Arabidopsis thaliana: one gene and its partner. The protein of the gene in region 2 purifies or fractionates together with the protein of the main gene of each other region. This does not show direct contact. Each region holds a gene or a part of one and is shown on either strand. Other genes may lie near its edges.

Region 1 (5,644 bases), on a different chromosome or scaffold from region 2:
CTCCTCAGGAATGACTTCTAGTGTGACCCTTTCTTTATTTGATCTTTCCACAACTACTTGCATCCTCTTCCCAACTCTGTCGTCCATTATCTCTATCACCTGCAATTAAAATTCATTCACACACGAACACTAAGAAGACAAAGAGAGTGTGAGAAAAAGAGAGTGTGAGAAAAAGAGAGAGGGAGAGAGACGACACATGCCTCTTTGATGGTCTCGACCGGCTTCCCATCAAATCTCACAACAACATCTCCTGGTTTGAAGCCAGCTCGATCAGCCGGTGATCCCGGAATCACCTGCCAAACAATGATCATGCAACTATATAAGTGAATATGCAAAAGTTTGACAAAACTTGGATTATACATTTTTTCTTTGGATCTTCTTGATCGATGGGTACTCACCGTAGGAACAAGAACGCCTCTTTCGACATCAGGAAACATTGGGTCTCGTTCTTTTAGCTGAGCAACGATCAAGTTATTGAGTTCGACCATTTTGAGCCCAATCCATGGCCGAATAACTCTACTGCAACAATAACCTTTTGTTTAACTCCTCCCAACCTTTAAGATGTGATACATGATGAAACTATACTGAGATTACTAGCATACCCACTCTTCTTGAAATGCTCGATGATTTTAGATACCGAGTCAATTGGCACGGAAAATCCAAGACCATCTGCAGCTAAAACTTTCATGATATTAACACCAATCACTTCCCCATCCAAATTTACAAGAGGCCCACCAGAGTTTCCCTGACACACATATAGCACAAGGATCTCAAAAACACAAAATCTGCAAGTCAATATGTAATGACTTTCCCATTCATAGAGACAGAAAGATGTAAGTTACCGCATTGATCGAGCAGTCTGTTTGGAGATACTCTCTATGTTTGCCTCCTAAACCCAAATCACTGCTTTTGCGATCAACACAACTAGCACCAAGAAAAAGCAAAACCGGAAAGAAAAAAATCAACAATTCTGACTATAAGAACTTATCAAATATATAGAATAAATCTTTTGCAAGTACATGTGTTTATTTTACCTGACAATACCAGCAGTTACTGTGTTCTGGAGAGACAGAGGACAACCTACCGCTATTACCCAGTCTCCAGGACGAAGCTTACTCGAAAAACCAAGTTTAGCAGTTGGCAATGGCGTCTTTGACTTTATCTTCACTAATGCAATGTCGGATTGTAAATCAGCGTTCACCACCACACCCTCAAACGTCCTACCATCTTGCAACGTCACATCTACCTATAATTCAACAACTCTAAACTTCAGATATGTTCTAAACAGATTCCATCAAAGATAAATCCGTAGAAGAAACCAATCTTATAATTAACCATATGTATTCCAAAGACAAAAGTTATTCCAAGATCCTTTGCAAGATTGTATGAGTAAACATATTTGATGTTTTAGTCATACCCTCCCTTTAGAAGAATGACGAATGTTCTGAAAATCAACTACAACATGAGCGCAAGTCAGTATCGTGCCATCAGCATCAATGATCGTTCCAGAACCGATACTTTTCCCCATAGATATCCCATGGAAACCTACAACATTCACAAGATCACCAAACCACCACTGTGAATTCTAAAGTGAAATCAAAAGAAAGATAAAAACAAGAAAGAAGCTAACCCTGAGGAACCGAAAGATTGACAACCGCTGGTCCAATTCTAGCAGCCGCATTGGCTATAGTATCTCTCCCTAAGTAGCCATTACTTGGTTTCGAACTACTATCCGAAGCTTCAACAGAAACTCCCTTCTCATCATTTATAGGTGCTTCTGATTTCGGACTAACTCTCGAAGAAAACACGAAATTTCCTATATCATATACACAGAAACAGACATTCCAAAGTTGCAACTTGCACCTCTAGAGTAAATTTGGCATTGATCATATTCAGATATCAGAAAATTTTGCTACGAACCGAATAAGCTTTGCTCAGGACGATGAATCAAACCCGGTGAAATCTGCCAAGGCAGTAACGACAAAGATTCTCGAACAGATTCAGGTATAGCAAGCGATACTCGAGTTCCTAGAATACATATCACATTAAACCACAACACCAAGAGAGACAAATACAACGCATAATGAAGAAGATGGTTCTTGGTAATAGTAACTTACTTGCATCTGGATTAGTACTAGCATATAAAATTCCAGAAGTAGCAGTAGCAACAGAAATGATGCGAATAAGCTCGCTTCTTTTAGAAGATGATACAGCTCTTCTCTAAACCCAGAAAAAAACAAATGAGTCAGTGAAATTTTAACCAAATTAAACAAGAAATTGAACAATCGCAGAGAAGAATCGAACCAGAAAATTCATCATCGCAAATCCAAGATTGAAACCAAACAATTTGATTCTACAAGAACGAAATTCGAAATCGCGTCTTGTTTAAATTCTAAACCCCACCGGAAAACCAAAACCCCTTTTCCAGAATCTCGTAGATGAACCAAGAACATAAATTCTAACGGGCCTATCAACTAAGCCCAAACAAAGCCCAATTTGAACAATCATTTTCTTAATTAATGTCATGTTTTTCGTGATTATTATCTACTTTAATTAATGTCATTAACTGTACTGAATCTTTCCATGTGTATACCAAAACCATTTCAATTAATCCACCTAAATTGTTTAAATCAACAAGTACGAAACCCAGAAATTAATTAGACAGATGAAGTTACTAATCCCAGAACTTAATTATTTTCCATTACAAATTGCGTTAACAAACATAATCATCTTCCCATGGTTTTTACATAAGACAAACCAAAACAAAGAGAAGAAGATTTCAGATACCTACACAAATCCTCTAAAACAAAAAACAAGTTGTTTCTTCTTCTTCTTCTTCTTCATCTAAGATCCGAATATAACCAAAAAGCAACATCGATACTATTCTTTATCAAGCCTTCTTAGGAGATTTGGTAGCAGAAGCTTTCTCCGCTTGAGAAGAAGAAGCTGTTGATTTCTTAGGAAGAAGAACTGGATTAATGTTTGGAAGAACACCACCACTAGCAATAGTAACTCCATGAAGCAATCTCCCCAATTCCTCATCGTTCCTTATCGCTAAACATAGATGCCTAGGGTTTATCCTGTTCTTCTTATTATCTCTCGCTGCGTTCCCAGCTAGCTCAAGTACCTAAACCAAACCGGTTCAATTCATTAGAACTTCAAAATTAAACAGATCTAATAGATACACAAAATAAATCGATTCAAAATGCAACGAGATCTGAGATTGAATATACCTCGGCGGCTAGGTATTCGAGAACGGCGGCGAGGTAAACCGGAGCACCGGAACCGTATCGGAGAGCGTACCGACCTTTCTTCAAGTAACGAGCGATACGACCAACGGGAAATTGAAGACCAGCTTTAACAGATTTACTAACACTCTTCTTCCTATCTCCACCTTTCCTTCCTCCTGCTCCTCTCGTTGGCTTCGTCGTTGCTTGTGATGACTCCATTGTTCAAAAGCTCCAAAAGAAAATACAAATGAATCTAAAGGGAAAGCACAATTAGTGTTTTTTTCGGTTTTGTGGCGGTTTACGATTTGCTTAAAATGAGGAAAGAACGACGTGTATGTATATACCACGTATTGCCACGTTGGCGATCCGTGTAGTAATTTATCTTAGCCGTTAAGATTGGATCTTGTTGGCTTTGATCTAACGGTCGTAATGACTTCTTTGTATGACATTACACGTGGGTGTTGTAAAAGGAAGGTGGAAAAGAACACTTGAGTGATATCAGCCGTTAGATTCATTCCCCACACGTTCTACAAGATAATCAGCTTTATGTCTTTTTCTTATCTTATTTTGACAGCAGATTATTACTATTATTTAAAATATCCAGAGAATTAGAGTAGAAAATTAGCGGATAATTCGGAAAATTAAGGAAACAAAAATTATTACCCAAACTCTGGTTTTAATTAGTGTAATAAGTACAAAAAATGTGATTAAGAAAGAGAGTTTAAGATATTCAACTGTAATCTTCTAAGCTCCATGACAAATGAAGAAGCATCATTAATGGCTGCACGAGATGAAACCAAAGCTTCATGGAGCTCGGTGTTAACGAGATAATAAGAACATATCTCTTTGAGAATCACATCATGACGTTCTTGAAGCCTTGTTACGTTCTCTTCCGCCGTTACCAAAGCCTCGTTTACAAGCCTCAGCTTCTCGATGGCGCGGTATCTATGCCTCAAGATGGGACTCAGAGCAAAGAAGGAGCCTGATATAGCAATTGTAGAAAGAAGTATTATGCTTCCATAAAGATCCATGAATGGAATAATGGGTTTGGTAAAAGAATATAAAGTGGATTCATTACTTAAAGAGGGTTGAGATTCTTATTCTTTGCTTCTCCATGGATGTAACTTCGTCGAAGAACGTCCTCGTGTTCGTTTTTTTCGGGGTTTCCTTTCTCTTCGAGGCTTTCTTTCTCTTCTCTCTAACCGCTGGCGCCGGATCTCTGGATCTGCCCATCCTTTTCCCCATTCAGAGAATCCACTGTATGTTCTATCTTGTTTCAACGAAAGTAGCATGTCGGCTTCTGGATAAACATAGAGTGGTTTGTCATCTTGGAAATCTAGTTGTTTCTTCCCTTTTTCTGTTGGTTGTATGAATTTAATCTCAACTCGACGATCCTGCAACACAGATCAGTAACATGGTTTTAACCGAATATGTGATCGTAGCTTTACGCCTTTACCGATAAATGGATCATAAGAAAGGTTGGTTTTTTGGTTACTAGTGTACCTTGTTATCCATCTCTTTGATGTATCCTTCGGCTTCCATGATACGGGCAAGACCTTTCCACCAAAGACAATCTGTTTCCTTGAATTTTTCACACTACACTAACCAAAGGCATCACATTAATATCATCAAGAACATAATGCACTATGTAATTTGTTGAAACAGAAGATTTACCTGTTCCCTGAGTTTACTGATGAAGAACAGAAGATTTGGCTTGTGGGATAATTTATTTTGTTTGCTGTTGCCGAGTCCATAATCTTCATATGGTGCATGCTCAGAGTCATTGTCTACCTGCAACTAATATACTAGCGGCTTAAGTTTCAGAAAGAAAGGTTATACAGTAGTAGACGAAATCTCAAATACTAAATAGAAATATGTTTGATTGTATATCACTCATACGAAACAAGCAAACTTTTAAATGAAGTTCTGGGATTAATCAAATGGCTTACATGAAAAGCAGTGATTACTTGAAACAAAAGATTAGCTTCCTCTCGTACATCTACTAGCTCCGGAGGCCCTTCAGTGCAAACATCACATCTGTTTCATAGATTGGAAAGGTTTTACAACTATTTGGTAGTTTGACTTGATGGGTTTTAGATAAAAGGATAGGACTTACGAGTTACACTTTTTGGAACTAAATTCCTCCCCAAAGTACTCCACAAGTATTTTGGCCCGACATTGTGAAGTGTTCATTCCATATCTGCATAAGAAAGGAGAATGAATATAAAAGAATATAGAACGATAAGTGAATATGCACTCCCACGTATCTGACTAGTATAGAGACCTGAAACAGTCAGATAGCATCTTGTATGCTTGCTCTGTCTGTTCTTTGCTCCTACGGCTTGGCAAAAGCGTTGGTGCTCTCGATAGATCAGCATAGAGCACTGTAAATATCAGATAGTTACTTCCATCAG
Region 2 (7,783 bases):
AAATATAGTATTTTTTTCAATTTAAGAAGTTTGGAATTTTTTGCACATTGTCTATTTTACTAAACAAAAGGTTTGCTTAGCAAAAATAAAATAAAATGAAATGCTTGTCGCTAATCATAAGTCATAACATGTGTATGTGTGAGACTTGCTTGATTTCTTTCCTTAGCACACTAGTTAACATAATTACATCATTAGACAGCAACTTCTTCCCACCTTTTTTTATATAATAGGATTCGTTTATCTTGAATATTACACTCTCTTTTTGTTGTTGTTGATAGTTTGGTGACATTAATTATTCTTGGTTTTTCATCTCTTTTACTTTTTAAGTAATGGATACTATATATCATAATCCATAAGCAATCTGGTTAAAGTTAACAAAAACACATTAGTAGCGAATCCGGAAAGATGTAAAAGAATAATTTATCAGTAAATATATTTTTTATTCTATCTGAGAAAAAAATCATTAATCATGTAGATTCTAATTTCAAATATATAATAAAGCATGCAAAATAAATAAATTAATTAAAAATTTAACTAAGAAGTTTCAGATTTAAACCCATAATCTCTTCTAAAAAATGAATAATACATATCAATTTAGTTTCTTTTTCACCAACGGTGAAATCGACATTTTTTTTTATTTTTTGGAACTTCGGATGGTACATTGATGAAGCTACCAAAACCAAGTACTAAATGTGTTACGTATTATATAACTTTTTAAAATAAATACATAATAAAAATTAATATTGAAAATGATTACACAATTATCTTACAATTAAAAATTGTTACACCAACCCTTCGTAGAAATATTAGGTGGTAACAAAAATAAATTAATGATTATTGAGAGCTTAACTTATAATGAGCTCATTTGAGTTGTTTGATCCTCAAGTCCCAACCACCAACCCATAACCCATTCAACATGTTTCCAGTTGGTTTGCATAATGTAAATGAATACTACACACACGAGACAACCACAACATGCATATATGAATAAGATATATATGGTTGAAATTGGAAACAAACTAAACGTTATTTTTACTTTTTAGTTCCACAAAAACTTTTGGATATGTTTTGATCAATAGTGGAATTGGGGCAGCAAAACAAAACTAGAATCTAAGAGTTTGGTTTTAGTCGTTTTCAAATATACGTGTTGAAAGTGGCCTATGGATGGATGGATTCATTTTTTTCCAAAAAAACAAACCGGTCTAATTAGACTGAGCGGTTATCCAATACCAAACCAAACCAACTATTTATTAAGTCAAAGGTAATCCAATGAGCAATTTCAAATCTAACAAAGCAACAACACACAGTGAAAAAAATCCAATGAGATAGAATCAACAGCTTTATCCATGGCTGAGTTCTAATATCTAAATGATGCTCAACACTACTTTACAAGAATCTCTTGAGTCTTTGGAGTCTTCAGGATCAGTTTTGAGGGATGTTTGATCATTGTACAATACCGTGGTCACGAAGGATCTAGAAATTTTCTTGCCACTCAAACTTTTCAGTTCATCCACAGGATGTTCTCGACTTCACAACATTCCAACTTTGTCAAAAGATTGGAGATTCTCAGCGATTTTTTGAAGTGCTTCTTCACTCATCTCAACTTTTCGGACTACACCCGGAAAGATCTTGTTCTTCTCGGAAGCAGCAGTGGGAGAAACTTGACCACAGAGCTTTGATTTCATCTCTAAGCAAGATTTGAGATCCTCTTCGGTTCTTGCTTTGTTCAGTTTATCGATTATTTCATTCAAAGCTGAACCTTTCTCTTCCCATTTCTTTCTTTTGACCCGCCTTTTGATATCATCTTGATCATCTGAAGAACTGCCTAAATCCAGTCTCTTAAGCTTCACCAAACCGGCTTTGACTGTCTCCGCGATCCGCTTCTTAAAGCTCTCTGTTCTTGCAGAGTTCGATCTCAGCCTCAGTTTAAGCTCTGAAACAATATTTTCCTCTTTGTTTTGCTCAGGAGCTGCTGTTCCATGACTCTCTTCATCAGGAACAGATGTAAATGAAAATGCTTCTTCGAGTAAATTCACATTACTCATGTACCGATCAAAAGCTTCATTTTCTACTTCAATGTTTCTGTCTCTGTACTCTTTTAGCTTTGTAAACCGCCACTCGTTTAAAGCTTGAGCATCCTATAGAATATAGACAGAACAAAAACTGATAAGAGGAAAACAACTAAATGGAGATTTTTCATAGAGTACTAAAGTCAATGAAAGACGTCTTAATTAGTATACCTTTATCGTCAAAGGTTTTCTCTGGCGGGAAGAAGCATTCAGGTTATTAAACTGAGCAAAGTTGCTAGAAAGTTGCCGGATTGACGAAACTCTAGTGGTACTCCTGAAACAATTTCCAAAAGAAGAAAACGTCAACATAAAGCGCCATATTTTAGTTCCACAAGACCAATATATCATCTCACTATCAACTACGTGCAATAAAACAAGAAAGCTGAAGAATCTCCTATCAAAGTATTAGTAAGCAAACACCGGTTTATCATCTAAGATTCACTTGCCCATGGAAGCACAAACAAAACAGAAAATTAGTTTATATATATGTACCCGGGAGTGCCCTCGGTTGCTTTCTGCTCTGAAGATGGAGTACTTGGCGCCTGCGTCTTCTCACCAGACGTTGAAGCTACTTTAAGAACTGCAGCGAAATAAAACACATAAGAAGAAACACAAAACAGTCCATGATAACATCTCTATATCTCTCAGCTAATCACAAGCACATTCCAAGAATCAGTCTTATGGTTCTTTATAGGTTTTTTTGTCCCGAGACAACCAAACGAACCCTATAGAAGTCAAGAATACTAAACTCTAAACTTACCAAGTGAAAGAATAGAACTCTCCAATCAAAGTTATCAACACTAAACTCTAAAACTGATCACTTTAGCTAATTATGAAGTTGAGATTTGACAGGGCAAACATACCGTGAATCGGGCAGGGATTCTCTGCTCTTGAACAACAACCCTTACAAGATTGAAAAGGGCACCTGCATTTATCAAATCCAAGCAATACAATTACAATTACTTCACCAATAATCTCAAAAAACTGATCTTTCGATACTAAAGCTCAAAACTTTAAACAATCTCCAACAGATTAATCACCAAATCATGAATAAAAACCCAAACCCACAAACCTATGAACCCTAAATCAAAACGAAAAAGTACTATACAAGACAAATTCGAATCCTTTCAGATCAAAAACCCAAGAACAATCCATAAATCGAAACCCCAGATGTAAAAAACCTAAGTCCTTCGATGAAACAATGCGTAGAAGCAATACCTGGAGCGAGCTACATTGCCGCATTGAATACACTTAGGCTTATTGAGACCACGGAGAGTTTTGGGAGGCGTGACGACGGAGGAAAGACCATTGTTACTCAGAGACGGTGACGAAGTCGCCATTGATAAAAAGTAACGGTTTAAATTAAAACCGTTATTCAACGAAAGAGATAACTAACGACCAAATAAAACTCGTGCGAGTGAGTAACAAAAAATTTGGAATCGAAAGGATTGGTTTTTATTTTTTTTTGTCGCTCTGATTTTGCGAAGTGCTCTCAATCGCTCGATTTCACGGCGGGTCTAGGGCTCCGGTTATTAATAATACCACGTGAGTCGTTTTTATATGGGCCTGGGTTTTAAAGCCCAATATAATTTCTCTTTAAATTGAACCGAACTTAACCAAATCATGAACTTTATCCGGGATCAGACTTGTCAGATAAATCAATATAAGCCCAAAAAAAGCCCAAGTAATTAGGTTATTCTATCGAATCAGATTCACATATATATAGACGTTATTGTTCATATGAACAATAGAACATCAATCTAAATAATTTAGTGTTTGCCGTTTGGGCAAATCTTTTTCTTCCTCATCTCTTCCTTCGCTTTGCTTTAGAGTCTTTTCATAAGTAAAAGAAACAAAAACAATAAATCATTCTACTAATTGACTTGTAACTCGAAGCTTTGATTTGGACGTTACAAGTGGTATCAGAGCTTCACACTAGAAGCTTCTAGATAGAAGTCAATTTGGCAGACAAAACAATGCATTTAGATTTTGGTGCATTCAACTTCAGAGTGTTTTCATATTTTTATACTACTCTATACTATTTTGCAATTGATATCGCTTTCTAACTTATTATTCTGATGCATCGATCGCTATATGATTATATTGCGTAACCTTGGCTGATTTTGCAGCTTCAATATACTTAGAGTCAATTTTGTACTTGGCTGATTTTGCAGCTTCAATATATTTAGAGTCAATTTGTATGGACTTGCAGATTTGGATGGGTTAACACATAAAAATATAGTTTATACTTTATAGACATGATTATTTAATTAATTAGTTGATTTATCATTGGTTTTAGATTTAGTAGACTATGAGGACTGTCAAGAGTCCACACGACGATCAAACTAAACAACTCTGATGATAATAGAGACTACAAAACAAAACAGAACTGAACAATTTTACAAAACAACAATTAAAAAGTATAATTTAATCGGAATAATAATATTTGCTCACCAATATATAAATTTTAATTATTCTTCTTCTTTTTATTTATTTGGTAAATATTTAACCATCCATTCATGATTTAACGATTACAATCGAGATAAATACCATTGGATAACAAAATATTACGAAAGATTTCCTCACCAATTCTTCGCGACATAGTGAACGTACATCTCTCAAGTTGTTACTTGTAAATTGCAATCATTCGCATAATCTATGTTGCATGAAAACGGAAACGGAAATGCGGATACGAAACGTTTCGGAAACGGGAAACGATTTTTTCTTAAAATTAGGGATTGGAAACGTTTTGGAAACGTATACACATTTATACATATATATAACATTATATATATATATATAACATTAACATAAAACTATATTAAAGAAAAAATGATTTAAACAATACAAGTCCAAAATATCAATATTAAATAAATAAACTAAAATTCTAAAAGATAAAAATTAAAAGGTTCAAGTTCAAATAGTTAATTTAGACCAACATTTTCATTAGTTTTATCAAAGATAATATAAAGCTCTTTTCAAATCTGGTTTAACAAAAGAAAGATCTTAAAACTCAAAGTCTTCCAAAATTATTTATATGTAATAATAATTTTAATATTTTCAATTTTAGTTATTAAATTTTTAAAGTCAATAAAAAAGATTTGTCGTATGTCTATTTCGGAAACGTGAGTTTCTATTTTGGAAACGTAAGTTTCCATCGTGTTTCTAAACCTAGATTTTTAGGAAACGCGTTTCCGTGACGTTTTTCGTATTTCCGGAGAGTTTCCGTTTCCGAAACGTTTCGGAAACGAGAAACGCACCTCGGAGCGAGTTTCCATGCAACCTAGCGCATAATCTTGCAAAAAAAAACATTAATACATAGGCCTTGGTTATTTTTTAATCCAACTTCTCTATAAATTGAACCTGAACTTAAACCAAATCAGAAATACATAAATCGGTCGGTTTGTGAGGTATTAATCCGAGATATGAGATATTTTTTCTTTTTCTTGTTAACAAATTAAAGGAGCAAGAATCGTCCTTATCAAGTAAGGACTTGATTTTCCAAAATATATTTGAATTCCTTTTTTGTAGGATCTTTTGTGGATCTAGTTGGCAAGAGTGATGTGTATATAAAAATGTTAAAATTGATTAATAGCCACAATGAATAATTCTGCCAATGAACTTGTACTTTGTAGCTTCAATCTAGACCTAACATTGGGTATTAAAGCTTCTATATATATAGAAGCTCTGATACCACATGTTAGTTTTAGATCAAAGTTTCAAAGTATTAATAAATTGGCAGAGAAAAAAAAGCATATAGAAGTCAATTCCCTTGAAGTCCTTTTTAACTTATTGTTCTTAGTTGGATCTTGAGAACAGTATCTTGGAGTATTTCTATGTAAAATGTGAATTTATAGTTTTCAAAATTTAAAGCCAGAAGTATGTTTGCTTTTTTATTGATGTTGATGTTTGAAATCATCATTATTTGATTCTTCACAAATCAATATTTTTCCTTGCATGCTGTAGATTAGACGATACAACAGAGATCAAGTAGATTCCAAGAATCTTGGAAGCCCGAGAACTATGTATATACACCGCATGATTTGTCAGGACAAAATTTGGGTTAACAGTAAAAATGGAGTAGAGATGACTTATCATTGGTTTTTTACTTTTTAGAAATATCGACAGTCCATGCAACGACCAAACTAAATATTTTTGGTTGTATATCAGAGACTTATGCGGTAATCTAATTTTTCAAATTGACAATGGTAATGTCCAAGACTTTCTTTGTTCCTCCCATTCTCAACCTTCAGTGAGAAGAAAAAACTACAACAATTAACAATATATCAGAAAATAAATAAATAGAGAAAGAATAATCTTACAAAATAAAAATGAGAAAATTAAAGTATAATATTTAATGCGAGTAATAATACTTCTTAATCAATAGTTTTGTGTGAAAAAGAAAATCTAAAGTTTAGTGAGAAACAATAAAATATTATGAAAGATTTAGTGGTGACCGTAAACATACATAATCTCTCAAGTTGTTGCAATCGTTCCCATCTCTTCCAAAAGTGTTTTTTCCCTGTTTTGGCAAAGGAGTAAGAATCGGTCCTTGTCAAGTAGGACTAGATTTTTTCCAAATATCTTTGAGTTCCGTTTTATGTATAATCTTTTGTGGATCCGCTTTGCATGTGTGTTGTGTATGTAAAGTGTTGAAACCCAACTATGTGACACATGACAAGTCAATACAAGCCCATTAATCCATGTTTCCTTTCCAAGTAATTAGGTTTATTCTAAGATGTAGACTCATATATATAGACATGTTATGAAGATCAATAAAATTAGTTTAGGGTTACCTGCAGTTCTCTTTCTTCCTCAATTCTTCTTCATATTGTCTTTGCTAAAGTTTCTCTTCTTTAGAAAATAAAAAGAAGAAATCATTTTGTTTATTGACTTGTACCTTGAAGCTTTGATTTGAACCTAAACCTAACAATTGGTATCAAAGCTTCTAAATAGAAGCTCTGATACCAATTGTGAGAGTCATATCAAAGCTTCAAGGTAGTAGTCAATTTGGTAGAGAAAAAAATAGGGTTTGCCATCTTGATTTTGGTGCATTCAACTTATGCTAGGAGTTTTTTATAGGTTTCAATTGATATCCTTTTAACTTATAACACCATGTCTGAAATCTTATTTATTCAATTCTCTGGACATCAATCCTGCTCTTTGCGTGTTGGGGTTGAAGAATAAACTTTGACGATTCAACAGAGACTTGCATAACAGCAGAATTTGTCCGGACAGAATCTAGATTAACACCAAAATATGGATTTATAGACATGATTAAGTTATTTGTCATTATTTTTGGTACTATGGCCAGTTCCACACAAGACACAACGACCAAACTAAATATGTCTGGTCACTTTTGAGAATTGAGATTTTATCTCGTAATTATATCAGAAACTCTTATGATGTAATTAATCTAATCTTCAAACTGACGATGAAAAACAAGTACTTTACGAGAGAAGAATTTTTTTGGAGTCAAAATAATTGTTCGATCTTTAGTTCTTATAAGAAATAATAAAATATTGAGAATATTACACGTAAAGACACTATTTCGAAACTTTGGCCACAAATAGGCACTTTAAAAGCATTAGTCACTTTAACTCAGTAGAATTACCCTTTTACCCTGAAATCGTTTGTTTAACAAAACCTAACAAATTTAGCCGGTTTTCGGTTTAATTTTTTAATCTCAATCTCTAAACTAAAACCAATTTGTG

Evidence for each region. The genes of interacting proteins can lie anywhere in the genome.
Region 1: the proteins of AT1G32730 (region 2) and HTA7 fractionate together in Arabidopsis thaliana (co-fractionation; one large-scale study listed by BioGRID). This does not show direct contact.

What each region holds. Positions count from the first base shown.
Region 1 is NC_003076.8:9,789,917-9,795,560, forward strand, and holds HTA7 (histone H2A 7), read right to left. Parts: upstream 3,645-5,644; 5' UTR 3,450-3,644; coding exon 3,234-3,449; intron 3,128-3,233; coding exon 2,891-3,127; 3' UTR 2,593-2,890; downstream 1-2,592. Other genes in the region: DEG14 (Trypsin family protein with PDZ domain-containing protein), read right to left, coding at 1-99, 201-293, 399-519, 603-745, 843-924, 1,035-1,246, 1,418-1,545, 1,631-1,816 and 3 more; RECQSIM (RECQ helicase SIM), read right to left, coding at 4,328-4,624, 4,734-4,826, 4,905-5,027, 5,180-5,267, 5,347-5,430, 5,515-5,614.
Region 2 is NC_003070.9:11,836,703-11,844,485, reverse strand, and holds AT1G32730 (electron carrier/iron ion-binding protein), read right to left. Parts: upstream 3,577-7,783; 5' UTR 3,410-3,576; coding exon 3,288-3,409; intron 2,995-3,287; coding exon 2,933-2,994; intron 2,650-2,932; coding exon 2,562-2,649; intron 2,344-2,561; coding exon 2,241-2,343; intron 2,139-2,240; coding exon 1,530-2,138; 3' UTR 1,178-1,529; downstream 1-1,177.